Linked DNA regions of Elephas maximus indicus. The main gene of each other region encodes a partner of the protein of the gene in region 4 in a complex. Links are inferred from orthologs where the notes say so. Each region holds a gene or a part of one and is shown on either strand. Other genes may lie near its edges. The genes, in order: CCNA2, TFDP1, E2F1 and RB1.

Region 1 (7,178 bases), on a different chromosome or scaffold from region 4:
AGTTCTGGAGGCTAAAAGTCCAAATCAAGACCTCAGCCATAGGGATTCCTTCCTTATAGGTAATCCCTAGCCTTCCTTGGTCTTGGCTTATAGGTGGCCCTCACTGGTGTCTGTCTGGCTTCCTACCACCGCCCCCCCCCACCATGTGCACACATCTGTGTCTAATCTACTCTTTTTAAAACTCAGCTGTGATTAGGTTTAGGATACACTCTACATTGATGTGGTTTCATTAACATACAAGGAACCCTATTTTCAAACAGGATTACATCCACCGGGCATAAAGGGTTAGGATGACAACAGGTATTTTGGGTAGACACGATTCAATCTATAACACACTTAGTGTGATTATTCACCCATATATTTTGGTGTAGAAATATCATGTTTTGTTACCAGATGCTGCCATTTGCTCATAATACTTTGGGGGTATTTTGTTATATATGGTATATGTCTTCTGTTATCTTCCTAAAATATGAAAAATTCTGAAACACATCTGGCATCAAGGGTTTTGGATATATAATTGACAGCTCGAATTATTACCATTTCACATGTGAGGAAACTCAAAGGTGAAATAATTTGCCCAGACCTTTGAACCCTAAAACTATTTATTTGCCTTCTAGTCAAATCCCAAGAATAGTCAACACAGAAATGGAATGTCTTAATTTAGATAAAGCTATTAAGAACAGAATCTGCCTACACTATTTCAAAATGGTCTTCTTAGTGGGAAAAATAAACCACTTTCATGATGTTATATATACTAGTATCAGTTCAGAAATAGCATTTGATTGTCTGAAATTAATATCTTTTAACCAGTTGTTAAAGATGTTTATTAGCTAATTAGCTAATTTATGTCCTGAAACTGGCCTTAAAATTCCCCCAAAATACATATATTTTTATAAGCATCGAACCTTCTAAAAAGGTTTGTGTATATTAAATAATGAAATTACAGGTACTTAGAAATGGATTCTCAAGCACTTACTTTCATTAAATTGTTTCATTAAAAGGAACTAATTGATGACAGTAAATTCACGTTGTTCTTTCTAGGCATGATCACTGATCTTTTCATAGATAAGTTCAAATTCAAAGGCACCAATGTGAAAACCAAAGTACCTCTTCTTCTGGAGATTCTGGACAGTTATGACCAAAATGCATTGATTGCTTTCTTTGATGCTGCTTGAAATATAATCAAGGTAAAGTCCCAAAGAAGTGGTCTGTTTAAAAGGAAAATACTAACATAGAATTATAAACTAAATGTATATACTTTTATTTCAAATGCTTTTTGATGACATCTAAAAATATTTCAGATATGACTTTAAATAATGCTTCTATTTGCTTTGATGGTAGAACTTTTTAAAAATAAAGAGAATTTTTATATTTAAAACAAGTGGATGACCGTTTTGATCAGGGTCACAATAGATGGTCCCAGCTAGAATGGGAGAAAAATGTGGAGCAGAACTCAAATTCTTATTTTAAAAAAAGCCAGACAAACTGGAACAGTGGAGAGCAGAGGACTCCCTGAGATTATCACCCTGAGACACTCTTTAAACCTAGAACAGAGCCTATCCCGAGATCACCCTTTAGTGAAATAGCAGAGTGGCACACAAAGGATATTACATAAGATTGCTGCTCTACTTAAAAACCATCAGAATGAGATTAAAAGGTCAACAATTACACAAAACTAAGACGGGAAGATAAGGGGCCAGGGAAACTAGAGTACTGGAAATAGAACAAACAGAACACAAAGAATATTAGCGTTATGATAAATGTAACTAATGTCACTGAACAATTTGTGCGGAAATTATCAAAATGGGAACCTAACTTGCTGTATAAACTTTCACTGAAACTCAAGTATTAAAAAAAAAAAAAAAGTGGAGTAAGTACAAGGGATTTTAATGCATTTTTAGTAATTAGATGTTTTGATTTTTAAATAGAGAAATATTTGGAAAATCAAAATATATTCAAATGTTTTACAAGCTACCAAAACCAAAAACCACTTTCATTGCCGTCAAGTCCATTCCGACTCATAGCGACCCTATAGGACAGAGTAGAACTGCCCCATAACGTTTCCAAGGAGCACCTGGTGGATTCGAACTGCCAACCTTTTGGTTAGCAGCCATAGCTCTTAACCACTACACCACCAGGGTTTCCTTACTAGCCACCCACCCACCCACCCACCCACACCCACCCACACCCACACACATACATTTATGTGTAAACTGCTTTACAGTTTTCAGAATGCATTTGCGTACCTTACCTCATATCATCTTCGCATCAGTCCTGTAAGTTTGTCAAAGCTTGTAAGAAAACCAATTGTTGGTGAGGTTAAGTGACATGAGGTTAAGAGGACATGCTATTAATTTGTAAAGCTGGGACCAGAACCCAGTTTCTGGCACCTGCTTTGTGTCCCAATTACAATGTATGTTGTCAACAAGCGGAAATAAACTACCAGTTATTTTTTGTAGGAGCTGAGATTGCTTTATAGTGATTTCTGTCTTGTTCGGTAACATTTTGTGACCCATGCTGCAGCTTGTAAAATGCCTTAGTTGTCTCAGTGCTGTAAATTTCGGTCAGGGAAATGAGCAGCTTACACAGATGAGAGAGATCTTAACTACAAGTGCTGTGAGCAGTCAAGCTATACAAGTTGCAACACAGGAGGAGTGCAAAAATAGTGATAGCTTCTTGGATTTTCCTGCACTAGTATCACTAGTTTCCTTTTTATCCTATATGAAACGAAAATATTTTAAGAACACAGTTTTTTTGTTCATTAATCTTAATGTAAATTTATTCATTTTCAGGGGAATATTGTCAATATGAGTTGGAATTGATGGCAATGAGTTTGGTTTTATTTTATTTAACAGTCTGCTTTAAAAGGACAGATTATAATGGTAAAAAGGCTATTTTTCTGTTTTCAAGAAGTGTAGACTCATGAATTTGTCAGAAAACAATGCTTCTGAATTACATACCATTATATTTATTAGTTATGTGGAAGTCTTGTATATTAAATATGAGAATTTGTTAAAGGCACATATTATAGCTAAGACAGTTTTGTTTTAGTAAGGCCATTGTTTTTATTAAACAGTTTTCATTTCTAAATGGAACATCCAGGTCACTAGAATTTCATTGTTTTTTTGTTGGCTGCTTCTATATAAAAGGCTACTGGTTGGGGAAAAGTGTATAAGCATTAATGACTGTCCAGTCGAATTTCTTGTAGTACATTATTACTTGTTATATGTATCAGTAGTTCAAGACGGCACAGTAAATTGTATTTTCTTGGAAAAAATAAAAAGCATAAGACACAGTTCTGCCTACTGTGAATAAACACCGCGTCCTAACATGACATTATATCCTGCCACTTGAGTATTACTATGTGCACAGTGTTACATAATTTATGCACAGTATTTCATTTAATCCTAACGACAGTCCTATGCCGTGTAGGTATTACTTCCAATAAACACATAAGAAAACTGAGACTGGAGACATTTAATAATTTGACCAAGATTACCTGGCCAGTAAGTGGCCAAGTCAAATCTTGAACCTCGGGAAACAAGTCAGCCACGTTAACTGGAGGTCCCAGGGCTAAAGGCTGGGACGGCCCCCTAGTAATTGCTACAGTTTAACTCAGTTAATTTTAGAATGCATATAGACAGCCTTTAGCCTTGCGCACAGAGACCTCCCAGTGGTGCGGTTTAAAGTCATCAGAAACTCAGGTCTCCCCCGCTCCCGCCTTCACCGCGCAGGCGTTTTTCCTCCCGCGGCGGTTCGACGTTTCTCCGCTCCACCCCTGCTCAGTTGCCATCACTGCCGCCTGCGCTGACTGCGACTTTGTCGCCCTAGTGACGTCACGGGCCTCTGCGGCTCTCATTGGTCCATTTCAATAGTCGCGGGATACTTGAACTGCATGAACAGCCGCCGCTCCGGCGGGCTGTTCGCTTTATCTCGGGGCGTTCTAGGTCCTTGGTACTCCACGCCCGACAGTGCCTGCCTGCTCCTTTCGCAGCCTCCTCCGCCCCGCACAGCCCCTGCCAGGTGAGCGGGCAGGTGGGCAGGCTGGCCCCGACTGCGGCGAGCGGCGGCAGCTACAGCATTCCTCGGCTGAGTCTGCGCGCGGGTCAGCGGGGCGGAGTGCACGCTGCTTGGCGCCGGAGGCTGATCCCGCCGCCTGCCCCGGGGAGCAGTGATGTTGGGCAACTCTGCACCAGGGCCTGCGGCCCACGAGGCGGGCTCGGCGCTGCTAACACTACAGCAGACGGCCCTCCGAGAGGACCAGGAGAACATCGACCCCGAAAAAGCGGAGCCCGCCCAGCAGCCCCGGACTCGAGCCGGGCTGGCGGTACTCAAGGCGGGGAACCCACGGGGTCCAGCGCCGCAGCAGAGACCCAAGACGCGACGGGTAAGGAAGGACACGCGAGGTATCTGTCGGAGGGTGGGCCAGGCGAGGGTCGAGCATGGGCTTAGCAGGCAGAAGAGGGTGACGAGTAAGCATTCTTTGGGTATTTTAGGAGGGCGCGAGTCTGGAGTCCCCTTGGTCACAGATTTTCCGCTTTGTGGGATGCCACGGTGGTAGATTCTCTCATTCATTTTAGCATATGACCCCCGCCAACACTGCATGTGCTACTTATCTCCTATCTATTGGGGTCATCTTTGTAGATTTTGGGGTCAGACCAAGCCCTACAACGCGAATGTCGTCATTGCCCAGCTCATGCTTTCGCTTGTCTTTTAACCCCAGGCATTACTCTGCTCCGGGGCGAAGCAACCAGGTCTCTCCTTCCCCTCCCCATCTGGTTAAGAGAATGCTTCTACTTTAGAAAAGGGTACAAGAAAATACTTTTGGTAAATCCCGCCATTTTAGCCGGATTTGCTGTTTGCTCCACCCTAGTGTCAACTCTGCCTGTGACAAATTTTTACATCCCTTCTCTCTTTGACTACTCAAACTATTCTTGCCTGGACTTTTCCCTAGTTTAATTTTCCTGGTAGATATTTGAGAGTGAAAGCACAAGCTGAGATCCTTAAGGGGAAAAAGGCAAAGCTCCATTTAACAGGCTCAAAGACAGTTCTTTCTTTCTAGGTTGCACCTCTTAAGGATATTCCTGTAAATGATGAGCGTGTCACTGTTGCTCCATGGAAGGCAAACAGTAAACAGCCTGCATTCACCATTCATGTGGATGAAGAAGAAGAAAAGACTCAGAAGAGACCAGCTGAATCTAAAAAATCGGCGTGTGAAGATGCCCTGGCTTTTAACTCAGCTGTTACTTTACCTGGAACAAGAAAACCGCTGGGGTCTCTCGATTATCCAATGGATGGTAGTTTCGGTAAGTTTTAAAGAGATCTGTATGAATCAAGGTAGTATAATTATTAAATAGACTAGATTTTATATTTTAAAACATTATCTTACCTGATCATTACTACATAGTTAGCTTTAATGTAACAGGCTTAGAAATGGTGTGACTTGTCCCAAATATCACACCAAATACATGACCTAGTGACCTACAAAAGGACCCAAGTCCTAATCAGGTGTTCCTTCCAGTACGCTACCAATCAGTTTAATTACATTTCAGTCACATAGTCTGACCCTGGAAATGTTTGCTTGGTTGGGAGAATAGATTTCAGTTGCAGTCATAAGAAACCAAAAAAAAAAAAAACCAAACCCACTGCCGTCAAGTCGATTTCTGACTCTTAGCGACCCTATAGGACAGAGAAGAACTGTCCCATAGAGTTTCCAAGGAGTGGATTGCCTCCCATGGAGCTTCCAAGGAAGGCATGGTGGATTCAAACTGCCTACCTCTTGGTTAGCAGCTGTAGTACTTAACTACTACGCCACCAGGGCAGTGACTCGATTCATACGTACCACTTGAGAGAGTGCTGTGTGAGAGTGCAGTCTTAAATACTGTGTTGTCTGACATCTTTTCCAGCTCTGAAATTTTGTGTTGCTGTAACACCAGTCTGAGTAATCATCAGATACCAGAAAGGCACATTGTCTTCTTGTGTGTCAGTAGTTGTACCATGCCTGTTTGCACTTACCCACATACAAAATGGAGTAGCTTCATCAGACAGCTCTGTCTACAGTTTGTAGTGTTTCTTTTCTGCAGGGTTATTGAGTTACTGGATAGGTCATTGAATATAATCTCATTTTAGTTGTGGTTCTATTGATTAGGGAAGGGAGTGGGAAGTCCTTTGGAAATAATCTGTGTATTTTTATTTAAGATTTGTAACAATTTCTTACCTCAGAATGATCCTTGAAGTTGAAAAGAGTAATGGATGATATTCTTTGCCTCAAAAGATAATTTGAATTACAAAAAAAATCAATCATTTGTTGATTGTCATGTTAATCCACCTGTTTGAAGTACCCATAACAATCCTAATTTCCTTATTAACACACTTGTTAATGAACGCCATTTAGTCTTGCTTCTAGTTATTACCTTATCGTACTTTGAATATATCAGATTCAGGTTAGCAATCTCTTTTGGCAAATCCATGTACTTTTGTCATGAGAAGCCCTTTTACTTGGATGAAATGTTTTGGTAACATAGCATTCTTGACAAGGGCAGTCACTTTTAGCTATTAAATAGAAGATTAAACAATTAATCATATCTTTTGAATTCCTCCAGAGTCACCACATACTATGGACATATCAGTTGTATTAGAAGATGAAAAACCAGTGAATGTTAACGAAGTACCAGACTATCATGAAGACATTCACACATACCTTAGGGAGATGGAGGTAAAAGCTCTCTTGAGTGCAGTCGTATACTGTTAATCACTGCATGTGGCTAAATGAAATGGAGAGGTTAATTAGTGTTTTAACTGCTAGTGAACTACTGTAAGGTATATTTAACAGTATACTAACTTTTCTCAACAGGTTAAATGTAAGCCTAAAGTGGGTTATATGAAGAAACAACCAGACATCACTAACAGTATGAGGGCTATCCTTGTGGACTGGTTAGTTGAAGTAGGAGAAGAATATAAACTACAGAATGAGACCCTGTATTTGGCTGTGAACTACATTGATAGGTTCCTTTCATCGATGTCCGTATTGAGAGGAAAACTTCAGCTTGTGGGCACTGCTGCTATGCTCCTAGCCTCGTAAGTCCATTTTGGTTTTTTGGAATAAAAGTGATGGCTACCTCTCTGCGTAGGGAAAAAATGTGATTTTTAACAGTGTGGCATTCTGACATACTACACGA
Region 2 (7,940 bases), on a different chromosome or scaffold from region 4:
TTCCCTAGAGCCAGTACTCTGAATTCGGACTTCTAGCCTCCTAAGCCGTGAGAAAAATAAGTTTCTGTTTGTTAAAGCCACACACTTGTGGTTATTTCTATTATAGCAGCACTAGATAACTAAGAAAGCAAGTAATCTCCAGACCTCCTGTGTGGAAGGTGGTCCTCAGTAGATGGGGCCCTTCTCTGCTGGGCATCAGAAAACGGGTCCAGATCCAGCAACTGCTGAGCCCCACCACACGCTCTGAATGGTGCATTCACAATCTCTTTTAATTATGGAATGGCTTTTAACAAAGCTATTCAAAATCATAAATTTTAAAGGCCCGAAAAGATTAAGTAAAATTGGTACCATTTAAACACCATAAGCATTTATCAACAGGCATCCAAGGTTACAAAAAACACAACGTAGAAAGAGCAAGTCACACATCTCCATGGAGGCTATTAGATTCTTTGATCTTTTTTCACTTTCATCCTGTTTCATGTGCTTTAGAAGCTTAAAAAAATAAACAGTACTATGGTTTATGTGTTGTCATTCCGAAATAAAGTGAGAAAACTGCAAAGAATTCAGTGCTTCGTAATTTCTCGCTATTAAAAGCTAAGGAAAGGTTTGTAACACGAAGCTAATACACTTACATCTTTTGCCATGTTACCAGATCCGTGAAGTCAATTTTATAAACGTTCACCCTCCAGAGAAGAAACAATGATTTTTCTGAAAAGAAGGGAAAAGAAAAAATGAGTAAGAATAAAGAAAGTTAATAATATGTCACATCTTAAGAGAAACGTTCCCCACCCCCCCCCACCACCACCCCAACTGGCCTTCCAGGTAACAAGAACCTTCCTTCCCAAATGTACACACTTACTCAAAAGTGGAACTGGCAAAAACAACTCCTATACTTAGGATTTTAAAATTCATTGCAGCAGGTGAAAATATATTTTAAATTGGCAAACAAGCCCATAAACAACCAAGACATAGGAACTCCATGACCTAAAATCATTGCTACAACACCCCAACTTTCTCCCCAAATCACCCAAAGATAATCCCCTTTACATATCTGCCTGTGCTACCTTTCTGTTTCTAAAGCATAATCCATGGCATAACTACACGAATGGTCCCATTCGGCTCATTCACATCTCTACGGGATCAATATACCACCCCCACAGTGACCCACCCAGGCACACACATACATGCACGACCCCACACATCCATCTAACAGGAGTATAACTCTCCCTTCTGTCCTAGCACAGACATACCGGCGCGCAGGGAAAGCCATCCCAAAAGAACTCTTAGAGGGACTTCCCCCACCCTGGTCAGTTTCCAGCTCGCTGACCCAAGCCAGAGGGTAGACTGGTAACTCTGACAGGTGGGCTTCCAGAGTCACCCCAAGCAGTCCCAGGGTCCAGGGAACTGCTCTCAGTCCCCCATCCCAACCCCCACGCCCCCAGCCCGTCCGGGTCCGGGCTTTCTCTGACCTGTCACTAGGCCTCAGGAGCCACCTCCACCGAGAGGAATCTCCCTTCCCCCGCCCGCCACCGGAACCGGCAGTCCTCGGCTCGGAGCTCCCTAAAGGACCAGGTCGGTGGAAGGGTCAGCCCCTCCCCGTTCCCTCCCGAAGGCGCTCGCTGCAGGCCGGAGCGGATCCGGCCGCCGGGGCCGGGAGCGCGGGCGGCGCGCTCGGGCCCGGGACGGAGCCGGCGGCAGCTGTGCAGCCCTGCCGCCCGCCACCGCCGGGTGCACCGCCCGGCAACAGGCGCCCACCGACCCCCTCCCCGTTGCCCCGCGCCCCCGGGTGGCCGAGGGGCGCGCGACGATGCTTATCCGGGGCCTGGAGGGCCTAGCTCCGGCCCTGCCGCCCCGCCTGCCCCCACCCGGGGACCCCCCTGCACCCGTCCCGAGCCCCCACCTCGCCCGCCCAGACAGCTAGCAGAGTCCCGCAAGAGCCCCACTGCCCGCCCTCCTCGGTCGGGCCCACTCCCGCCCAATCGCGTCCTGCTCCCCACCCGCGCCAACCCCCCATCCCACATCCTACAGCCGAGGTCAAGTCACCTGGAGAGCGCCTTCCTCCCCCGGCCGCCCACCCCCCCCACCCACCGAACGGCGGCGGCCAGCCCCGCAGCCCACCAACTGCAGCGGCTACAATGAGGCGCGGCGGCGGCGTGGGGGGTGCGGGGTGGGGGAAGGTTTACCGACTGCACATGTGCAGCGCACACAGAGCACACCAGGAAAGAGCCCCAAGGAGACACCGAGCAGTGCGCGCGGCGCCCACACGCAGGCGAGGCGGGGGCAGGGCCGAGGGGCCGGACCGCCGGGGACCAGTCCGCCCCGGGCTGCCCCCTCGCCGCCGTTGGCCCGCCCCCCGCGCCCCGTGGCCGGCCCCGACCCCGGCCCGCCCCAGAGCCGCCTCTCGGGCCAGGGGCCCGCGCACCGCCCGGTGCCCCCTCCCTCCAGGACCAGCTGCTCGCCCTGCCCTGGGCCCCATCCCCCAGCTCCATCCTCCCGCGGCGCCGGTGGCTCCGCGCCCTCCCCCATCTCCATCCTCCCGGGGTTCCCGCCCCAGGGCATCCTCTCCCCCTCCCGCAGCCCCGGCCGCCCTCGGCCCGCGCGCACCCGCCCGCCGCCTGCAGCGCCAGGGTGGCCGGCGCCCCGCACCTGGCTCGCCCGGTCCGCGCCCGCGCGCGGGGCTGGGGGCGGAGATGCTGGGCGCCGAGGCTCAGGGCCCCGCCGCCCCAGCCCCGCACTCACGCGAGGATGGCGGGGATGGGAAGGCCCGGCCGCGCTGGCCAGACAGCCCTGCGTCCCCACTCCGCTCCCGCTCCTCCGTGGCCCCCGGAGCGGCGGCACCGGGAAAAAAATTGAAACTTACACTTTGTACCGGGAGCGTCGAGCCGGCGTGACGTGCCGGCAGCGCGGTGACGTGCGGCCACGAGCGGCCCCATAGAGACTGGCCCAAAGTGTCAGTTTCACCCCCGCGCGCTCCGCCTCGGGGAGCGCGGCGCGCCTGCGCGCCGTTTTCGCGCCTTTGGCTCCCTCCCTCCCTCCTTGCCTCCTCCCGCCAGTTCTGCTCCGCCCCCGCCTGGCGCCGGGAGAGGGGCTCAGTGTGTGTGTGCGGAGGAGGGAGGGAGAGAGGGAGGCCCGCGGCGAGCGTGTGTGGCCGCTGGCGGGCAGGCGGGCGCGCGGCGCGGAAGCTGCTGCCTACCCCGGCGTGCGCTCCCGGCTGAGGACGGCACGTCTGGCCCAGCGAGGAGCCGGCAGACACCCGGCTCAGCCACCGCGCCTCTCCACGCCCACGCCCAACCTTCACCCAAATTCCAAGCAATTCCGTGCATCCTCGGTGCCAGCTGGGGAGGTATCCCGGAAGTGAGTTCAGGAGGGAAAACTGGGCAGCCCAGTTTGATCTGACTGCAGGAGCGGCCTCATCACTAGTTTGGCGTGCTGGACCCTTATTCCTGGAGATTTAATCACAACCTCGATCCCACCACTGCTAAAGCAGTGGGTGGATTCAACCACAGACGGCTGTAGAAACGCATCAGAGGGTTGACTGGCGGGCGCATCTAGAGTCTGGAGTCCAAAGTTCAGTGCTGGATTAGGCAGCAATGCCCAAGCCCTACCAGGCCCTCCCTCTCTGCCTCCTAGTGCGATGCATAATTAACGTTTGCAAAGTACTTTGAGGTGCACAGACCAAAGGCCCTCTGTATGTGCAACATATTATTATTACATTACTACTATTACATTACACCCGCACTTAGCATGGTTTCACAATTTAGCCACTTTTATGCTGATTACATCCACTTCTGCTTTTCTAGTAATGCACTGACCCCTTAAATCTCTTTTCACTTAAACTGTTAGCAATTTAATTAACATTGGATTCTCCTGGTGGTGCAGTGGTTAAGACCCAAGGCTTGGAAAAAAGGTCAGTAGTTTGAATCCACCAGTTGCTCCCTTGTAAAGGGGCAGTTCTACTCTGTCCTATAGGGTCGCTATGAGTCGAAATCGACTCGACGACAAGGGTGTTTTGTTTTTTTTTTTCTTCTTTGAAGACAAGCTAATAACGGAATCTTCATATTCTGCTTACAGATGAGCACACAATGAGTATTTAAAGAAACATTGAAGGAGAAGTTGAATAAAAGACTCTAAGAGGGAAAACCAAAAACCCATTGCCGTTGAGTCCATTCTGACTCACCATACTGGACAGATTAGAACTGCCCGATAGAGTTTTGAAGGCTGTAAATCTTCCCAGAAGCGGACTGCCACATCCCCCTCCGGTGGAGTGGAGCTGGTGGATTTTAACTGCCCACCTTTCAGTAGCAGCTGAGCCCTTTTAGCTACTGCACCACCTGGGGCCCTTACTAAGAGGGAAAGTCCTACAAATTACTATCTGGAGAAAGACCTTATTCTTTGCTGTTAAGATTCATACAACTCTTCACCCATTACCAGGTTCCCATGATTTCAGAACCGATATTCCTCCATTATATCCTACAAATAGTCATATTTTCCTAGCTCCATTTCTTGACTTTCACAAAAAAAATATTTTTTACTAAATTTGAATATTCCAGCTTAGTTAGCAGTGGTAAGTCCCCTTTCCCAACCTCTTGGACCCAAGTGTAGCTGTAGCCACCGCACCAGGAAACCTCCCCGGGAGACCTAGGGAGTTGGAATTAAGAAGGAAAAAATGAAACTCATAGTATGGGATCTGAAACCCCTTCCCTACAAATTCGTGATTCAGGTAATTCAACAATGTTTACAGAGGATGGTGGTGGTAGTTGCCATGGAGTCAATTCCAGCACGTGACGACCCCATGTGTGTCAGAGTAGAACTATGCTCCACAGGGTTTTCAAAACCGAAAAAAAAACCCAAATCCGCTGCCACTGAGTCAATTCTGACCCATAGAGACCCTATAGGACAGAGTAGAACTGCCCCATAGGGTTTCCAAAGAGCAGTTGCTGGATTCCAACTGCTAACCTCTTGGTTAGCAGCCGGGCTCTTAACCACTGTGCCACCAGGGCTCCCATAGGATTTTCACTGGGTTATTTTTTGGAACTGACTGTCAAGCCTTTCTTCCAAGATGCCTCTGGGTGAACTAGAACTTTCAACCTTTCTGTTAGAAGTCGAGCACAGTTAACCTTTTGTACCACCCAGGGATCCCACCTCTAATATTACTCGAATTGATTTCTGCACAAAAATCACTGTAGGGAAATATTCTGAACTTGCAGGGGGTACCTACTTGCTGAAAGCTCATTGGGGCTCTGGTTTGTTTGGGGAAAGGGCAAAAAGTTCTTTACCCCACAGAAAGCTCCTATTTCTGTGTTAACAAATGGTAACAGAACTCTAAAATTTTGCATTGAAAATCCAAATTTTTTTAGCCACTGCCTTGGCTTGAAAACTTTGGATCAAATTGCTGAAATGCAATCTTTTTATTAAAGCTCCCCCACCACCAAAAAAAAAAAAAAAGTTGCAGTTGAGTCAACTCCAACTCATGTCAACCCTGTGTGTGCTAGAGCAGAACTGTGCTCCGTAGGGTTTTCAAATGGCTGATTTTTCAGAAGTAGATCGCCAGGCCTTTCTTTCGAGGCATCTCTGGGTGGACTCGAACTTCCAACCTTTCAGTTAGCAGCAGAGCATGTTAACCAGGTGCACCACCCAGGTGCAATAAGCCCATAAAACCCTGGGTTTATCTACTCTAATAAGCCTGTAATGCCCTGTATTTATCTACTACTTCACATTGTTTAGTAAACTTAATTCTTTCTATGATGCCTTCATTCAGTATTGACTTGATGCATAACACAGTAGTTGGTGTTCAGCCCTATATTACTGGGGCCAGATATTGTTTTGTATGTATAAGATTTGTCATTATGAACCAGAATACTACATGGAAACAGTTCTGTTCTGTGTTTTGTTAAAAGAAAGTCATTTGGTTCTTTCCAGGTAAAATCCTCATCTCCCAAAATCTCACACTTTCGTGTCTGAGAGATCTCTACCCTGTTGAATCTTAGGACCTGATGCAAATCCTTCTCTCCTTCCCACACCATTAAACTGCCCTTTAAAGAGAAAGAACATGTTCCAATCCTTTGAAATGTTTTAATTCTAAATTTGCTTGCTAAATACAAAATTTATCTTTGGTTTCCATATTAAATCATGTTGGTCTTTTCTTCAGCCGTTTCCTCAGTTTTTCATCCTTCTTGGATCACCAGAGCAATAGTGATACTGAGGGAAGACAGGGAAGGGGGCAGGAGTTCATGGAGCTTATGAGGAAGGACAGGTGACATTTTCTCATTCTTTGGTAAAATATAAATAAAAGCATCTGTGGTTGTTTAGATGCCTCATAAAATATGATGAATCAGTGTGTTTGCTGAACTTCAAGGTAAATCCCCTAGCCCTTCTCCCCAACCAGATCATCACTTCTAAGCACCACCCCGTCACCTAACATATGAAGACATTTTTATTTTTCTCGCAATCTTTGCTACCTCATTTCCCCTTTTTAAAATTCCCAGTAAAATCCAAAGAACTCCTTCTTGAAAGTTTTAGTCTATCAGTCCTTGACCCTATCACGTGATTATGCTCTTAATAATTCTTGTGTCTTAAAGACTTTTACAGCGATTGACAGCCTGAAGCCACAGTCCTTGGAAAATTGTCACGGACAAATTCTCCAGGATCATAGCATCTAACATATACAAATTTGATTTATCCAAATTTATCTTACCAGTTTTATCTACAACCTAGACGCTTTCCATTCGCTTTGCATCTGAACTTTCCTCTGGCTTTTGCAATACATGAAAGTCCTTTAATTCCTTTGGCATTTAATTCCACAGCTCTTCTAAAGCATTCCTTCTTCGTAACTTGACATTGCTCTGACTAGGATGATATCAAGATTAGTTTCTTCTATGGAGTTCTACAGTTTAAGGTTTAAAGATCCATGTTCTCTTTACATCATTTCCTTCCTCGATAGAACTCATTTACCATCATCAGCCAACAGTGAACCCAGCACCAGGAGCTTTCAGCATAATTTTAAGAAATTTGACTTTATGTGCAATTTAATAACTTTGACCATTTGTCTACTACCTGTCCACTTATCTTACAGATTCATAGGAGCTCAGACAAACGGGATCTTAGAGTTCCCCTGGTACAATGAAGCTGAGCTCAAGGGAAGTCAAGTTACCTTGGATAAGTCATCTTAGCTTCGGGGATGCTTGATTTCCTCTAGCTAAGAAAAAACTAGGTAAAAGCGTAGTTCTTTAACAAAAAGACAAACGACCATTTCATAAGCTTCACCTTTCCTGCCTTCCTCATTTGGCAAGCATATTTTAGCTCCTAATACGTGCCAGACACTACCTTGGGTGCTGATTTTATACAGATCAATAAGTTACAGGATTGCTAGAGGCAAACAGGAGAGACAGATCCACATACAATTAAATGTTATAGAACAAGACAAGCTTATATTCACAACTGGAAAAAAAGCTATGGAAGCACAGAATCCAGAACATTTCTCCCTTCACGTGGTCAGGGAAGGCTTCACAAAAGAGGTAATATTTGAAATGGGCTATGACTCTGTGTGTGTGCATGTTTAGAAAAGAACACATCTTGAAAAAAGCTCATATCAGCTTATGTCCCATTGGCCAGAACTTAGTCCATATTCACACCTGGCAGTCAGTGATGCTTGAAATACAGGCATTATTCTGGGCAGCCAGATACTACCAAAGCTTTGAAGGTCTAGAAAAGAGAAAGGTGAAGAACAGATATTGGGAAACACTTAGCAGCTTCTTCTAATTGATGAAAAGATATTCACGTCTTAGGTAAATAAACCACATGGCGGCAGAGAGAGCATGCTGGAGTAAAGACATGATCTCAGACGAGGGCATCAGTGAGAAGATAGAGCAATCAAGAGGTTTGGTGCAAACGACCGACACTAACTCTGGCCAACATAAACTGAAAGGTATCCACAGACTCAG
Region 3 (7,884 bases), on a different chromosome or scaffold from region 4:
ATCCTCTCAGACATGGGCAAGCACAAACATCGTCATAGCATCATATATTTATATAATCCTTTGTGAATTAAAAAACTACCAAACTGTTTTCCTCTGGTTCAGTTTCGACTATTATACACCACTGCATCGCCACTTCTGCATGGGTGACTGAGGGATGTTGGCCTTATCTGTACAGTGTGAATGATATGACGCTTGAGCGAGGAAACAAAGGGAAAAAAGTGAAATTTTAAAGTTTTAGGAAACAAAAGCTCTCATAACTACATAAAAAGCAAGAACAGGCTTAAGGAGAAAAAAAAAAATTACTTTTAGTGAATAGGAGTGGGATCCTGCCCCCTTCAACTTTCTATTCTCCTATGTTTTCTACAATAAGCATATATTTGTAATGGAAAAAAAAAAAAAAGGCACAACAGGGTGGGGGTGGATAAGAAGGGCCGGGGGAATGGCTGAATTGTGCAGAGCCTTGTATGCAGTTGGTACTCAATAAATGCTCACTGGCGCAAAAGCTGAGCCTGTAGCTTGATTCAGGGACTGCCCCAAACAAATGTGCAAAGGGTAGGTGGGAACCTGTGCCCAGGGCTACCCACAGGTGTAAGAGTTGGGGATGTTGGAGGGCAACAGCTGGGCCTGTTTGCAGATTTGGCTCCGGGATGGTGCCAGCCCCGCCCCAGCACAAAAATGCCCACTGGGCCATAAGCACTGTGGGGCAGGGACTCTTTACCTGCTTCTGTGCCTAGCATCTCACGGATGCTCACTAACTCACCAGCTGTTGAATGAATGGAATGCTCAGGGCCCCTGAGGCTGCCCCTGATGGTTGTGGCAGGGTGCTTGTGCCTATGTGTGTATGTGTGTGTCATTTTTCCTCCTCCCAGTCCCTAACAGTTCCTCTGGGCCTGGAGCCCTCAGCCTCTGCTGTCTCTGTACCCCTGCACCTGCTAAGTGCTCGTCAGTCAGCTAAATGGAGACCACTTGCCCAAGCCTCAAGCTGGTACTCTGACAGACACGTCATTTCATTGGAGGGTAGGAGGCAAGCAAGGCTGATCCACCCCAGCCCACACGCACCCCTCCCACTCATTCACAGGCCCATAGGTCCCTATTACTTCCCCAGGCTTCATTCAACCTCTATTAGCATTTCCAAGGCATCCCAGCTTGAACTGCTGGGCTCATCATCCCACCACTCACTAGCTGATCCTGTCTGGGGAAGGCTGTCACATCTCTGTGCCTCAATTTCCCCATCTGTAAAAGGGGAAGGTTGTTGAGAGGGTTAAATGGATTAATTTGGGTAAAGGGCTTGGCACAGAGCCCTGCACACAAAACATTCTCAAAACAATGGTGGCTGCTATTGTTATTATTATTAGCATCTTGGTGATTCCGGAAGGAAGGCAGCACTGGGCATGGGGCCAAGGGGGCTGGGGGAGGCTTTTCCCGGGATGCCTCAGGGACCAGCTGCCACCCACGCCCCTAATGGCAGTTGGGCAGCTTCCACCTCCTTGTCCCAGACCCTGTCTCACCCCTCCTGCTTGCTCTGAGCCCCTCGCCAGACCCCAGCCTTCCTGGCCAGCCCCCGTCTGCCTGCACCCCACCTTCACCCACAGGCTGCGCCAGTCAAACTGGTCTACACGCCCTGCCCTGCAGCACATAGGTTCAAGCTCCAGGCCTCCACTCCCTTCTCCCACTGTAATTCAGACACCCTCTCTGGGCCCCCAGTCTGAACTGATCCTTCCACCTCTTGTTGCTCAGAGAGGCCTTTATCAGATTATCTCCCTGAGAGGTTTTCTCTCCCCTGGCACTGGGGGTCTCCCCCCAGCTCCCAGAGGCCCAGCCCACTCAGTTCTTCCACAGGGGCCTGCCTGATTAATGAGGTTCTATGGCAACCAGGGCCTGAGAGGGTGGAGGGTGGCAGATGGAAGGACAGGCAGAGGGAGGGGATCAGCAGCTGGCCTAGGCGTCTTGCCCCACCCCTGCAGAGAAGGCCTCCCAGCCAGGCGGCCTGTCCCCAGGGGCCTGGAGGGCCAGGCCTGCACCTGGCAGTGGAGCATGGAGGCAGGAAGGATGGTGTCCTCAATGGCGTCCCAACAGTCCAGCCCCAAGGACCACCTCCACCTCCATCCCCACCCCTACATAGCCACAGATTCTGGTCTGGAGCCAGCAGGCCTCGGTTCAAACTCCAGCCCCACCTATGACCAGAGGCAAGTCCCTTCCCCTCTCTGGGCCTCAGTTCCTTCTCCGTCAGATGGACACAGTGACAACACCGAGCTCACACCGTGGTTGTGAGTTTTGGCTGGCTTGAAGTCGGTCAAGGGCTCAGCCAAAGCGCTAGTTGAAACCACGTGGGCCATTATTATCACTGATTCTGACCCGGTGGCTGACCCGAGCGGCTATGGTGAGGAAGCGGAGGCCCAGAGCCTAAAGCAGCATACAAGGACTGGCCCGAGGTCACCCAGCAGCCCGGGGCGGGGCCCGGAGGCCCAACCCAGGCTCTGCACCGCCCAGCGCGGGCGCCTCAGTCCACCCCTCCCCCGGCCCCCGCTGCCTCCTGGCCAAACACTGCGCCCCGCCCGGGTCTGCGCGGGGGGTACAGGCAGGGCGCTTGGCCGGGTGTCCCTGGGGTCCGTACCGGCGGGCGGCCGAGCGAGGGGCGCGGGGCGCTGGGTGTGGGCCGGGGCGCCTGTGGCGTGGCGAAGAGCAGCAGGTCGGCATCGCGGGGGCCGGCGGCGGGAGCGGAGGGGCCGGCGGGGGCCGGCGGGGCGCTGGCGTCCTGCGCCGTGGAGATGATGACGATCTGCGAGGAGTCAAGCAGCCGCAGCGCGCCCGCCCCGAGCAGGGCCTCCAGCGCCGGCGCGCATGGGCCGCCCGCGGGGGCCCCGGCCACGGCCATGGCGTTCACGGCCCGCGCGGCCCGGGTGGCAGGCGGCGGCGGCGGCGCGGACCCATGGCGGCGGGCCGCGGCGAGGGCTCGATCCCGCTCCGGATCCCGCTCCGCCCCCGGCCGCCGCTGCCTGCAAAGTCCCGGCCACTTTTACGCGCCAAATCCTTTTTGCCGCGAAAGAGCCACGAGCCGCAGAACATCGCCACCATTGGCTACCTGGGCTGTGACGGAGGCGGTGACGGTGGCACCCATTGGCTGCTGTGCGCCGGACCGGCGGTGGGGGGCGGGACGAGGAGGCGGTGCGGTGCGGAACAGCCAATCGCAGTACGGGGCGCGCGCAGGCTTTGTCGGGGCGGTGCCAGGCTTGTTCACACTCCCCGCCCCCAGGCCAGACAGCCCCTGGTCGAGGCGTGGTGGCCCCGCCCCCACCCCGTCCCGACACACCCCATCCTGGTGACCCCACCATAATGAAGACATTTAGGGCAGAGTCTCCATTCTAAAGCCGTCACGTGCTGAACCACATCGTCCGCCTGCAGCCCCCACATGACCTCCAGACCCTCAGCCCAGATTTCCAGAAACTGTCTTCTGTTTTCTGAATCCTCAGGCCTACCTTCTAAGCCCCAGCTACATCTCCTCAACTTGCCCCACCTATGCCATTTACTCTCAAATCCTGCCCCTCCCCTGTCCCTTACCCAGCCAGACGCCCAGCAGAAGGGGGCTGCCAGGAAATGGGAAGGGATGTCTGGCCTAATATAGGTCTGGGGCTTTCCTGGGGCTTCTCCGGTGGCCTCGTCTTAGCTGGACAGCCCTGCAGTAGCCAACTCACAGCTTTTGCTTGGACTCAAAAAACCCAGTGCCGTCGGGTCGATTCCGACCCATAACGACAGGCTCAAACATTCATTTATTCAACAGATGTTTTGAGAGCCTGCTCTGTGTCCATCTTTAGTTCAGACTTTGACTCCGGGAGGAGGGGAACAGAGAGATAACAAGAGTTTACAATACAATATGGAGTTTCCAATACTAAAGTAATTCCACCGGTGTTACCTGCCATTGAATTGGGAAACTGCAGGGTCCTGTGCCAGCCCCATGTTCTATTGGGGATCAGACTGTTGTAATCCATAGGTTTTCATTGGCTGATTTTTGGAAGTAGATTCCTAGGCCTTTCTTCCTAGTCAGCCTTAGTCTGGAAGCTCTGCTGAAAACTGTTCAGTGTCATAGCAATACTCAAGCCTCCACTGACAGGAGGGTGGCTGCACACAAAGTGCATTGGCTGGGAATCCCATGTGGAAGGCAAAACTCCAACTTCTTAGACCTCAGCAAAGGATGGAAGTGGGAGTACTGAACATGAAACTGCGTTTAATCCTGAGACCCTGACCCATCTCCACCAACGGTTTCTCCTTGCTCAGATCAGCAGGTTTGACCAAGACCACCCTCTCCTCTGTGCCAGGTCTTGTGACAGTACTGAGGATAGAGATGTGAAAAACTTGATAATTGCTATGAACTTGCCTGCAGTCTGATGGGGGTCACCCACAAGAGAAAAAGTAGCTAGGAGCCCTGATGGTGCAGTGCTTAAGAGTTTGGCTGCTAACCAAAAGGTCAGCAGTTCGAATCCACCAGGAGCTCCTTGGAAACCCTGTGGGGCAGTTCTACTCTGTCCTGTAGGGTTGCTGTGACTTGGAATTGACTTGACAGCCAGGGTTCTCTTTTTGTTTGTTTTTAGGACACAAACAAGATCCCTCCACTTAGTCTAAAGTATCACTTCCTCCAGGGGGCCCTCCAGAGTTGAAGTTACTCACTTCCTGTATTGCCCTAGGCTGCCTCTGTTCCAGCACTGACCACACCACTCAGCTTCTCCATCTGCCTTCCCTACCACCCTGGGAGCTTCAACAGTGCCCCCTCCCCATAATGGCCTGGCCTAGAGCAGCTGCTGAGCTGAGGAGGGTTATGAAAGAAACAGGCTGATGTTGGAGACTGCCAGAATGCAACAAGTAGGTCCTGGTATTCCAAGAGTGGTCATTAGGCTTCAGAACCAGCTGGGGCTCTTGTTAGCTTTGGGCCCTACTGCAACCCAGCCATTTTAGAATCTCTAGGTGCCCATGAATCTATATTTTTAAACAAGCATCCACTCCCATGCCTTTCCAGGTAATTTTTATGCATGATGACATTGGAGAACAAATTGATGTAACTGTATAACTAAAATGTGTGAGGCGGCCTCAGATTATCCCCCTTTGAGAAATCTTCTGGGCCTCAGTGTCCTCGTCTGTAAAATGAGCACATAGACTTTGCCCCAGCTCTTCTGGGGTTGCTAAGAGAATGAAAAGCACAAAGGATCTGAAAGTGTTTTATAGATTGTGAGGTGCTTTGGGAAAACAGCAGAAGTGTCTTCCCTTCTCTCATGAACAATTTGTGAAATTACTTATCAAAAATCCTAGAATGTGTCAGAGCTGGAAGAGCCCACAGAGGTGGGACAACTGAGGCTTATTCAGGCGCAGGGTCCCATGAAGCCAGCCAGGGATAGAATCTGGCCTACACTGGAGTCCCAGCCCTGGGGTCTGCCTGTTCCCCCTTTCTCCCCGGACAGAGAAGCTGAGGGTTAGGTCTCTTCTAAATAACCATCGCAGGTCCTGACAGGAGTTGAGAGAGCCAGGAACATTCCCGTTCCACATAGTTTCCTTTCCCCACATTTTCCCAAATGATCCCGGTTACAGTAATAATATCTGACTTTTGTAAAGTCCTCTCATACTCAATATTCATTCAACAAACAAACTGACTGAGCACCTGTCAAGTGCCAAGCACCTTGCTGGCTGATGGAAAGGGAAGGCATTGCTGGTTTTGCCCCATTTTACTAGGAGAAAACCAAGGTCCAGAGGGAATAGGCTTACCTAGTAGATGAAAACGCCATTTATACAGGCTTGGTGAGGCCAAGGCCACGTTTTTCCCAAAGGCCTGCCCTCCTCCCAAAGGTCCTGCCCCTGTCCAGGTGTTCATCAACCACCCAGGTAGAAGTAGGTGCCTTCCTTCCCACTGCAGTCTCTCTTGTCCTGCTGCAGCAGCCCAGGGCTGGGAACAAAAGGCCAAGCAAAGGCCAGATTTCTCAGTGTGAAATCAAAGAGATAAGGCTTTCTATATTTATTAACACCCGCTTCAAAGCAGAAAAGTCCTGACAGATGGGGCCCCTTGGCTCAGAGTCTGGTGGATCCCGATAAGGCTGTTCCCAATGTCAGCAGTTCTCCTCAGGCTACTAACCTTCCAAGAAATCCATGATTACTGAGAAGACACTTCCATTATGATCTCCTTTCAACTCAATAATCCCATAAGTGAAGCTTGTTTATCCACATTGTGCAGAAGGAAGGTGGCTCAGAGAGGGGCAATCACAGTTCACAGTCACAGCAGAACTGAGATGGGAACCTAGCCTGTTTTACTGGAAAACCCAACATCTGCCCTTCATACTCTGCTACCCTCTGAAAATACTTGGAGAGCCAGGCTCAGGGCTGGCAAGATTATAATGTGTGCCAGTGAAGAGGCATTACGGTGGACAGTGTCTTTGTTAGGTCCCTGGGTGATGTGAACTGTTTGCACTCGACTACTAACCTAAAAGTTGGTGTTTCGAACCCACTCAGTAGTACTATGGGAGAAAGGCCTGGTGATCTGCTTCTATAAAGACCCTGTGGAGCAGTTCTACTCTGTAACACACGGGGTTGCCATGAGTGAGAATCGCCTTGAAGGCAACATGGTTTGGTGGTTTAGTTAGTGGATGCTTACCCCCATCACTGCGTCTACCAATCCTTCAATCTAGAGGAGTCCAAAGGAGTGGATGCTTTGGACTCATAATTCTCCACCTGGAGACAACTTTCCCTTGGTTCTTTCCTACACACAAGAGGCAGGATGGTATGGAGGTGAATGCAAGGGCTTCTAAATCAGGCGGATGTCAGTGGGAATCTTGGTCTGTGTGACCTTTTGACAAGAGAATTCTGAGCCTTGCTCATTCAACCCACAGATACTTATTGTATACCCACTCTGTGTCAGACTGTCTTAGTTATCTAGTGCTGCTATAACAGAAATAAATACCACAAGTGGATGGCTGTAACAAACAGAAATTTATTCTCTCACAGTCTAGGAAGCTAGAAGTCTGAATTCAGGGTGTCAGCTTCAGGGGTAGGTTTTCTCTGTCGGTTCTGGGGGAAGGTCCTTATCATCAATCTTCCCCTGGTCTAGCAGCCTCTCACAGCATGGGCCCTAGGTCCAAAGGACACGCTCCACTCCCGGCACTTCTTTCTTGGTGGCATGAGGCCCCTATCCTCTCTGCTCCCTATCCTCTCTCCTCGCTTCTTTTACATCTCGGAAGAGACTGACTCAAGATAAAACCTAATCCTATAGATTGTGTGGAAACCCTGGTGGTGTAGTGGTTAAGTGCTGCAGCTGCTAACCAAAAGGCTGGCAGTTCAAATCCACCAGGCACTCCCTGGAAACTCTATGGGGGCAGTTCTACTGACCCCTGTAGGGTTGCTATGAGTTGGAATCGAGGAGCAATGTTTTTCTTTTTTGGTAGATTGCATCCTGCCTCATTAACATAACTGCCTCTAATCCTGTCTCATTAACATCATAGAGGTTAGGATTTACAAGGCATAGGAAAATTACATCAGATGACAAAATGGTGGACAATCATACAATACTGGGAATCATGGCCTAGCCAAGTTGACAAACATTTTGCGGGGGAAACAATTCAACCCATAAGACAGACATTGTGCTAGGTCCTGGGAGATAGCTGTAAGCAAAATAGACTTATCTCTGACACCTGGAGCTCACAGTCCAGGGAAAGTCAAAATTATTTCTATGTACCTCCATAATATGCGCCATTAAGAAGTTTGACAAGTGACATAATTTTGAGCCATTTATTCCACGTACATGACATGCCCCCCAAAACATACACTTTTAGCTCAAAAAAAAGAAAAAAAAACTCCAAACATGAATATTCCATGATTACAAGGAGTGCATAACTGGGAGAAATCGTTCTATGG
Region 4 (7,962 bases):
TGGGAACTACCTGTATTTACTATGACCCTGTAGAAAGTCCTTAAATGTCATGGTTTCACTGAATTTCCACATCAGCCTTACCATGTAAGGACCCTTATCATCCTTGTTTTACCGAAGAATAAACGAAATCAGAGAAGTTAAAGCATTCACCTGAGCTCACTGCCAGTACTAAGTGGTAAGCCAGGATATGAACCCAACAGTCTAACTCCATAATCCACGCTCTTGACCACTACTCTATACTGCCAGCTCCTTTTTCAAAACATAATTAACATCTGATAACCTCAACAATGAAGGTGGTATGCTGTTCCTAGTGACAGTTTCCCTTCCAGCCTCATCATTTAAAAACCCTTTGCCATCGAGTCGATTCCAACTCATAGCGACCCTATAGGACAGAGTAGAACTGCCCCATAGAGTTTCCAAGGAGCGCCTGGTGGATTCAAACTGCCAAACTTTTGGTTAGCAGCTGTAGCATTTAATCACTAGGCCACCAGGGTTTCCACCACATCATTTAGGCCAGAGATAAATGCAACAGAATGTGATCTCAACTCTCTGGGCAGAAATGGTTCTTGCTGGGAATGCAGTTAGAGCTGAGCCCTGAATCCATCCCTAAGCAGGTTACTCAGCCTCAGGTTACTCAGCCTCAGATTGCCAGGCTGTGGTCCTACCCTTGCTAAATTGTTAATCTGTAGAGTCTGATTGAAGATGCTAAGGAATCCATTGTGAGTACGGATAATCAAAGGCAGACTGTATTTTGCATGGCTTTGAAGTACAAGGGTTTGAGTTCCCAAAGAATTTTTTATCATTCCATCACTTAAAGGTATATAAAATAATGTGTTGGGGAAAAAAGAATGAAAGAAACAAATTTCTTCTTTTCCCAGGTGATGGTCAGAACTTCAATATTTCTAATTATCACAAAATAATCAAGAATGCTTTCAAAGTTATATGGATAACACTGAATTTTTTAAAGTAAATACTACTGCTCTTGCCAAAGAATAGTTTTCAGGTATTGGGCACATTAGAGTTTAATCAAAAACTAAAGTGTGATGTCTTCTTCCAAAACATCCCCCAGGCCTGTTTTTTGTTTTGTTTTTTACTAAGCTGTTAAGTCGATTTCCTGACTCATGGCAACTGCATGTGTGTCTGAGTAGACCTGTGCTCCATAGCATTTTCATCAGCTAATTTTTTGCAAGTAAATCATCCGATTAGCAGCCAAGCCATTAACCGTTTGCACCACCCAAGGATTTTTTTTTAAACTAGTAGGTATGATTTTCAGTTAACCCATATGACAGTTCATTCAAATATATGAATTTTTAATATCCTTCCACAGGTCATTTCAATCTTTTACAATTTGGCCTGAACTCTGTTAGTGGCTGGGAAGTGGAAAGATATGTACAATTCAGTGAGGGTAAAACAGAACTTGGTGATGGACCAGAATGGAAGAAGGAATGGTGAGGGAAGAAAGCAGTCCCATTCCCCTACGATGGATCTGTATACAAAGAGCCTGAAAGAGAACCAGTGCTGACAATAAGGAATAAGGACAAATATGCACTTTTCAGTCTTAGCTAGTTAACCGTAAAGTATCACAATCCAGAAAAATAAAATGTTGCAATCCAACAAATAGCTCTTTGTCATATTCTACCGCATCCACACGGCTTGCTTAAATTTAGATTTCACTTAGGGGGGGAAAAAAAAAGTTCGATGTTAGCACAAGAGCATCGCCAATTTTTTACCAAAAACAAACAGAACAAAACAAAGAAACAAGCGTCACCAAGATCCCTGATTGTAAAGTCAAAAAACAAAATGGAAGAAATAATGGCACATGCTGAGGCAGACTAACCTGCAAGGAGTTTTATCCAAAAGGAAAAAAAAGAAGTTTAGAAACTTTTAGGCACTTACACTAAATTGCCTCACAAAACTTGCCCAGTTCCTCTAAAGCATTCTGTTTCGCCAGTTACTACAGCTGGCTTTGAACCCCAAGGCCTCAAAGCACCCTGTGGACAACCGGCACCCAGGACCCTGCGCTAAGGTCCGATGGCGTCTCCTGCAGCGGCGTCCAAGGCGTTTCTGGTCGGCCTCTCGCAGCATGGGGCTTTGGATGCAGTGCACACCCAGAAGCGAACACTTGGAACTCTTGCGTCGCAGAAGACCAAACAGAAAGCCAAAGAGCACGGGAGTACTACCAATTTAACAAGAACAAAACTCGCTTCCTCTTCAACACACGCGCGTCAGTCATTTTTTGCATTTGATGGGAGCTCGAAATGACCCGCCGCCTCCAGCCTCCGATCTAGCACCTGTCACTTCGCTCAGCCAACCGAGCCCCACCCGCCCAACACCTGTCAACCTGGAGCCGCGACCCCTCCTGGCTGTCCTCCCCTCGCTCCGGATCCCGGAGCCCTGTCACCCTCCTCCAGACCCTCCGCGGTGGTGGGGGGCAAGGAGGGACCCTCTTTCGCCGGGACCGGGATCCGGGGCAAAGACGCGCCCCCGCCTAGATGCCGCGGCGCCGGTCCCGAAGCCCCCTCGGCTCCCTTCCTGCGTTCGCTCTGCGGGGGCGGCTCTGCTCACTCACCTGGCCAGAGGTAGGTCCTCGGAGCCACTGTCGTGCTCCGGATCCTCCTGGAGAGGGGGCGGTGGCGGCGGCGCCGGGGGTTCCACAGAGGCGGCGGCAGCCGCAGCAGCAGCCGCAGCCGCAGCCGCAGCGGCAGCGGCAGCGGCAGCGGCGGCAGCGGCCGCTCTTCGGGGAGTTTTGGGCGGCATGACGCCCTCACAGGGTAGGAGCCAGCGAGCTGTGGAGGAGGGCAGGGCCGGGGGACGCGCGCACACGTCGGGGCACGCCCCGTCCTCTCTCGACTCCCGTTACAAAAATAATTTGAAGGTCCCCTGAGAAAAACCGGACAAGCCCTCCCCGCCCGGCAACCGAGCGCCGCGTCCAACCGCGGGAAAACGTCACTTCCGCCCGCGGCGTCACGTCCGCGAGGCTCCCGGGCCAGCCGGCGTCTGGCGGGCACCGGGGCGCCTGGCAGCGCGCGGGCGGGGGCGCAGGGACGAGCGGGGCTGGCCGGGAGACCAGGCCTGGCGGAGGCGCCCTCCCTGAGGTAGCCGCCGCTGCTGGGACCTGTTTCTACCTGTAGCTCTCCTTCCAGGCTGAGGTGCCCGTAATAGGGCAACAAAAAGAGTCTGTGGGGCAAAATTGGGCCCCATCTCTGTCATCTCTGTCTTTGGGTCTGATCAGGGACTGTCACTCAGGTCCTGTAAGTTCTATCAGGCAAGCGCACCCTACACTGTCACGCCTCCTCTCTCCATGGGCGGTACCCTCCCTCTTCTGAGACCTCGCCCACCCAATCCGTTAAGCCAGTCTACCAAAACAAAAACACCGCCGATTATCCCTTTAGCAAACGTTTCTGGAACACCTAATCGGTGCTCCAGTTTACCAAGCACTGGGGGAAACAAAATGTAGGACAATTATTGGCCTTTTGGGGATCACTGGTTAGGGTAGGGAGGGGGCTGTGGGTAATGAACAAGTAAACAGTTTATAAACTGTTTATAAACGTTAAAAATAAGATTTTGTATCAATTCAAAAGAATAACAATATTTGATTGGTCTATGATTTAACAAACAATTTTCAAATTGGGAGAACATTCTCTTCCTGCAAGAAGAAACTCCCAGAGAATGGAGATTTCACAGAGACTTAAAAATTTTTGTTTGATAAATACAAGTTTCCACTGTGATGAAATAATGATTACTGAGTTAACTTACATATTTATAGTTGAGAGCTCTTGAAATTAAAATCAAGGAAGCACACAGTCTTTTTCATTAAATCACAAGGTGATTGATTTCTTATTGACTGCTGTCTTCTAGCTGGGGGGATAAACAAGTTTAACCATGCTGCAAAGTTGAAGTTGGGGTGAAAGAACAAGCCAGTGAAGCTGCAGGCAAGATCAGTTTTGGGTCAAGTATTTTTATACTTGCGGGTGTGTGTGTGGGTAAGAGAAATTTCTTAAAGTAAAATGTCTATTTTTAATTAATTTTTTTGAGTCTTAATGGTGGTGTAAAGTCAGGAGGAACCATTGAAATGTGTAAAAGAGATCTTCAGAGGAGAAGTAGCAGTTGAATAGAAGTTTGCCAGCTTGATCTAAAATTTAAGGAAGACTTGCTGGATCCCAGGAAATGTGCTGGCCACTTTACATAATTATCTCATTTAATCTTCAGAAACAACCTTTTAAAATGGATAGTATTATTCACTTTTCAGATGAGGCTCAGAGGACTTAATTAATTTTCCCAATATCACAGATCTGATGAGCAGAGGACTTGAACCTAGGTAATTTTGCTATGACTTATCTGTTACATTATACTGGTGAAGAAAACACCAAAAAGAGAGAAATAGCATGTGTACAGGCACAAAATCAACAGAAGAAAAGCTTTCTGGAGGTATCGCCGCCAAACATTGGCTTAGAAGCTGTATCTTTTCTGTCTCCTGGTATTGATTTATTATAATTGATTTTCTAGTTTTAGCACATGTTTTTCTTCCTTTGGCAGATACTTTTGATTGCCCATCTCAGAACTTCCCAACTGAAGTACTTTGAATAAAGTATAGTTGTGCTCTGATGTACATTCCCTCATTCTTGGAAAGCTGGGCAGCATGTGAGGCAGCAGGAGCCTTCAGGTAAGTCATAGATGCAAGTCTCGTGAGTTTATCCCAGTGAGTAGTGCAATGGATTATCATTTTCTGTGTAGACCATGACATGTGCCACAATGTAAAAAAGGTTAGCAAGCATTGGCCTACCCAACACACAGTCCCCCCGGATCCTACCTTGGGGGCCAAGACTTTGTCAGGAGGTAGGGCCCAGGCCACTGAGAGTGAATACAATTAAAATGGTAGTCCCATTCATCTTGCCCACAACTAGTTTAGGCAGCAGATCAGGATACAGTTTGACCTTTTAAAGATGAAAGGTGATAATATTCTGGAAGGCTGATAAAATGGGATACAGAGATGACAGCTCTTCTACTCCTTAGCTGTTGTCATAAGGATATGACACTTGTAGTTGCTGTAGCCATTGTGACCTATGCAGCAGACCGGAGGATAAGGCAAAAATGCTGGGGACAGGGCAGTAGGAATATCAAAAGAAAATAATCTGGGTCCTTGGTGACATAACTTAGCTTCTGATTTGAACACCCTGGAGCTGAATTGCATGATTGTTTGCAGCAGAAAGCATCATGACTGATAATATTTCTGCTGTGAATTACTTCAGGATAGAGACCAAATCTCAGGCATTTTTGTAGCCTTAGTACTGAGCACAGTATTGGACACACAGTAGATACTTATTTGTTAAAAATGAGAGTGGAGAGCATAGGTAGGAGAACTGAAGGAAGTTCTGGGAACTGAAGTAAACTCTCCCCACATATGTAGACTTGCTCTATTTAAACCCAGTTTACATCAACATCTGGATTTACCACAATTATAATAAGTCAAAGAGAGGTTTCTCCATTTACAAAAGGATGTGTATCTTTGCCTTGGACTCCTTTTACCATGTTTCTGAGTAGCTTTAAGATATGATTTCCTCACACACAACTCAGAAGTACTTGAGTAAATAAAATCATTACACAGCTTTCTGTTGTACTACAAAGAAGTGTTAGAGGTTCTATAGATTATTAAAAGAAGTTTTCTCAAGTGACGGAGTAGCAGGGGCAGGGGCCTGGATCCATGGTTTCTGGGGACATCTTGGTCAATTGGCATAACAAAATTTATTAAGAAAATGTTCTGCATCCCACTTCGGTGAGTGGCATCTTAAAAGCTTGCTAGCAGCCATCTAAGATGCATCATTTGGTCCCAACCCACCTGGAGCAAAGGAGAATGAAGAACGCCAAAGGTACAAGGAAAATGTTAGCCCAAGGGACAAAAGGGCCACATAAACCAGAGATTTTATCAGCCTTAGATCAGAAGAATTAGATGGTGCCTGGTTGCCATCAGTGACTGCCCTGACAGGGAACACAATGGAGAGTCCCTGACGGAGCAGGAGAAAAGGAGATGTAGAACTCAGATTCACATAAAAAGACCAGACTTAATGGTCTGACTGAGACTAGAGGAACCCCCGAAGCCATGGCCCCTGGACTTCTCTGTTAACCCTGAACTAAAACCATTCTTGAAGCCAACTCTTCAGACAAAAATTAGACCGGACTATAAAACATAAAATAATACTCAAAGAGTTTTACTTCTTAGTTCAAGTAGATACATGGGACTAAATGGGCAGCTCCTGTTGGAAGGCAGGATGAGAAGGCAGAAAGGGATAGGAACTGGTTGAATGGACAGCAACCCCATAGGACAGAGTAGAACTGCCCCATAGGGTTTCCAAGGAGCACCTGGTGGATTCGTACTGTCAACCTTTTGATTTGCAACTGTAGCTCTTAACCACTGTGCTACCAGGGCTCCTTACTGCACAAGATGATGATAAATACAGAAATTAAGAGTGCTTAGAAATGTTTATGACAATTTGACATGTCAGCAACATCCAAGAACATGATCATTGGACATCTGTTGCTAAGCATATAGCTAAGCAAGAGTATAGTCCAGTTCAGGTGTTCTCCAATTTATGTGGTGAGTTGCAGGTGGTAGGGCTGTGTCCTTGTCATGCATAGTAGGACCACATTTACGATGAGTAAAATTTTAAGGTTAGCTTGTCAATTGTAATCCAAAGTGTTAAAAATCCATGAAGATGTAAATATTTATTCATTTTTATAAGTTGTTTTTATAGTCATTTTAATTTTTAATCAAGCCTCTTTTTTTTATTTATATATAGCTAAATTAGGGAAGTAAAATTTGTGTCATTTATTTTTAACCCTAAATCGTAGATGATGAAACAAGCCTCATTGGCCTGTTTTGTCAAGAAAAGACAGATGTCACTAGTGGATTAATACTACCAGTAGTAAACCAAATAATGATCAGAGAAGTCATTCCAAAGAATTAGAGCTAAGAGTTTATATTAATTTTACTCAGAAATATAATCCCCTGTCTGTTCAGTCTGTAGCCATAACTTTTGGTTAAGTACTAAAACCATGGACTGATTAATGAAGCAATGAATCCATCAAACTTAAGGGACATTTACATACAAAATATAAAGAAAATATTATCATAAATATGATAAAACATTTTGATTTTGATTCTCCATCAAAGTAATCACCACACACAGGAAATTCATGGATCCAGAATTTAAATGTAACTGTAACTTTACAGGGCAAATTTTTGGAACTCACTACTGATGAAGGACTGGAGATGAATTTTGAAAATAAAGCATCTCTTGTTTCATTTTGGATAGAAATTAAAAATGAATGTCCTGAACTTGCTGAAATTGCCTTAAAATCTCTTATTCCACTCCCTTCAACATGCCTTTGAGAGACTGGCTTCTCTACTTGAGTGTTATCAGAATAAAACATAGAAGCAGTTTAGATATACTGCTAGATATATCTAAACCTAGATTAGGTAATTTAACAAGCAAGAAGCACACTCATTTGTCATGTTAAAAACTTTAAATATTGACGTACAAACACTGTATAGCAGTTAGTATGGGAAATTGCTACTTCTCTCCCAACTTCTTGTTTAGAAAGGTCCCTGCATGGCACAGATAGTTTCCAGTTGGCCAGTAACCAAAACGTTGGCATTTTGAACCCACCTGGAGCACCACCACAGAAGAAACAGGCCTGGTAATCTGCTTCCTTAAAGATTGCAGCCAAGAAAACCCTATGAAGCAGTTCTACTCTGTAACACATGGGGTCTCCTAAGTCACAAATCAACAACAAAAACAAATTCTTGTTTCTTTGTTATGGCTGTGGAATGACAAAAAATGAGGGGTGTAATAGCGATTCTCTATGGTAATCACCTAGATGCACACTTCCGGTGAACAATGTGCAGTTTTTATATTTTTTCCTTGTATCCTGTGTTACAGTTCTTCCAATTATTTGTTGAAAATT

What was found.
Region 1: the proteins of RB1 (region 4) and CCNA2 are in contact, whole or in part, in a crystal structure (PDB 1H25), measured with the Homo sapiens proteins. The link is inferred for Elephas maximus indicus from reciprocal best matches to the Homo sapiens genes RB1 and CCNA2. Residues at the interface, in NP_000312.2 of Homo sapiens: Pro869, Lys870, Pro871, Leu872, Lys873, Lys874, Leu875, Phe877, Asp878; in NP_001228.2 of Homo sapiens: Met210, Ile213, Leu214, Trp217, Glu220, Glu224, Arg250, Leu253, Gln254, Tyr280, Ile281, Thr282, Asp283, Thr285.
Region 2: the proteins of RB1 (region 4) and TFDP1 are in contact, whole or in part, in a crystal structure (PDB 2AZE), measured with the Homo sapiens proteins. The link is inferred for Elephas maximus indicus from reciprocal best matches to the Homo sapiens genes RB1 and TFDP1. Residues at the interface, in NP_000312.2 of Homo sapiens: Ile835, Ser838, Phe839, Thr841, Ser842, Phe845, Gln846, Ile848, Asn849, Val852, Cys853, Asn854, Ser855, Val858, Leu859, Lys860, Arg861; in NP_009042.1 of Homo sapiens: Gln222, Glu225, Leu226, Gln229, Ile262, Val271, Asp273, Asp288, Asn289, Thr290, Phe291, Glu292, Ile293, His294, Asp295, Glu298, Arg302.
Region 3: the proteins of RB1 (region 4) and E2F1 are in contact, whole or in part, in a crystal structure (PDB 2AZE), measured with the Homo sapiens proteins. The link is inferred for Elephas maximus indicus from reciprocal best matches to the Homo sapiens genes RB1 and E2F1. Residues at the interface, in NP_000312.2 of Homo sapiens: Ser829, Arg830, Ile831, Leu832, Val833, Ser834, Ile835, Phe845, Ile848, Met851, Val852, Asn854, Ser855, Arg857, Val858, Leu859; in NP_005216.1 of Homo sapiens: Ala267, Pro268, Pro269, Glu270, Thr271, Gln272, Leu273, Gln274, Ala275, Val276, Asp277, Ser279, Glu280, Asn281, Phe282.

What each region holds. Positions count from the first base shown.
Region 1 is NC_064823.1:25,383,547-25,390,724, forward strand, and holds the start of CCNA2 (cyclin-A2), read left to right. Parts: upstream 1-4,174; coding exon 4,175-4,387; intron 4,388-5,062; coding exon 5,063-5,306; intron 5,307-6,602; coding exon 6,603-6,715; intron 6,716-6,853; coding exon 6,854-7,077; intron 7,078-7,178. Other genes in the region: BBS7 (Bardet-Biedl syndrome 7 protein), read left to right, coding at 1,042-1,175. UniProt on the Homo sapiens protein: Cyclin which controls both the G1/S and the G2/M transition phases of the cell cycle. Functions through the formation of specific serine/threonine protein kinase holoenzyme complexes with the cyclin-dependent protein kinases CDK1 or CDK2.
Region 2 is NC_064835.1:74,595,809-74,603,748, reverse strand, and holds the start of TFDP1 (transcription factor Dp-1), read right to left. Parts: upstream 3,001-7,940; 5' UTR 2,861-3,000; intron 709-2,860; 5' UTR 645-708; coding exon 633-644; intron 1-632. UniProt on the Homo sapiens protein: Can stimulate E2F-dependent transcription.
Region 3 is NC_064843.1:35,859,174-35,867,057, reverse strand, and holds the start of E2F1 (transcription factor E2F1), read right to left. Parts: upstream 3,007-7,884; 5' UTR 2,876-3,006; coding exon 2,615-2,875; intron 1-2,614. UniProt on the Homo sapiens protein: Transcription activator that binds DNA cooperatively with DP proteins through the E2 recognition site, 5'-TTTC[CG]CGC-3' found in the promoter region of a number of genes whose products are involved in cell cycle regulation or in DNA replication.
Region 4 is NC_064832.1:30,645,442-30,653,403, forward strand, and holds the start of RB1 (retinoblastoma-associated protein), read right to left. Parts: upstream 3,012-7,962; 5' UTR 2,758-3,011; coding exon 2,570-2,757; intron 1-2,569. UniProt on the Homo sapiens protein: Tumor suppressor that is a key regulator of the G1/S transition of the cell cycle. The hypophosphorylated form binds transcription regulators of the E2F family, preventing transcription of E2F-responsive genes.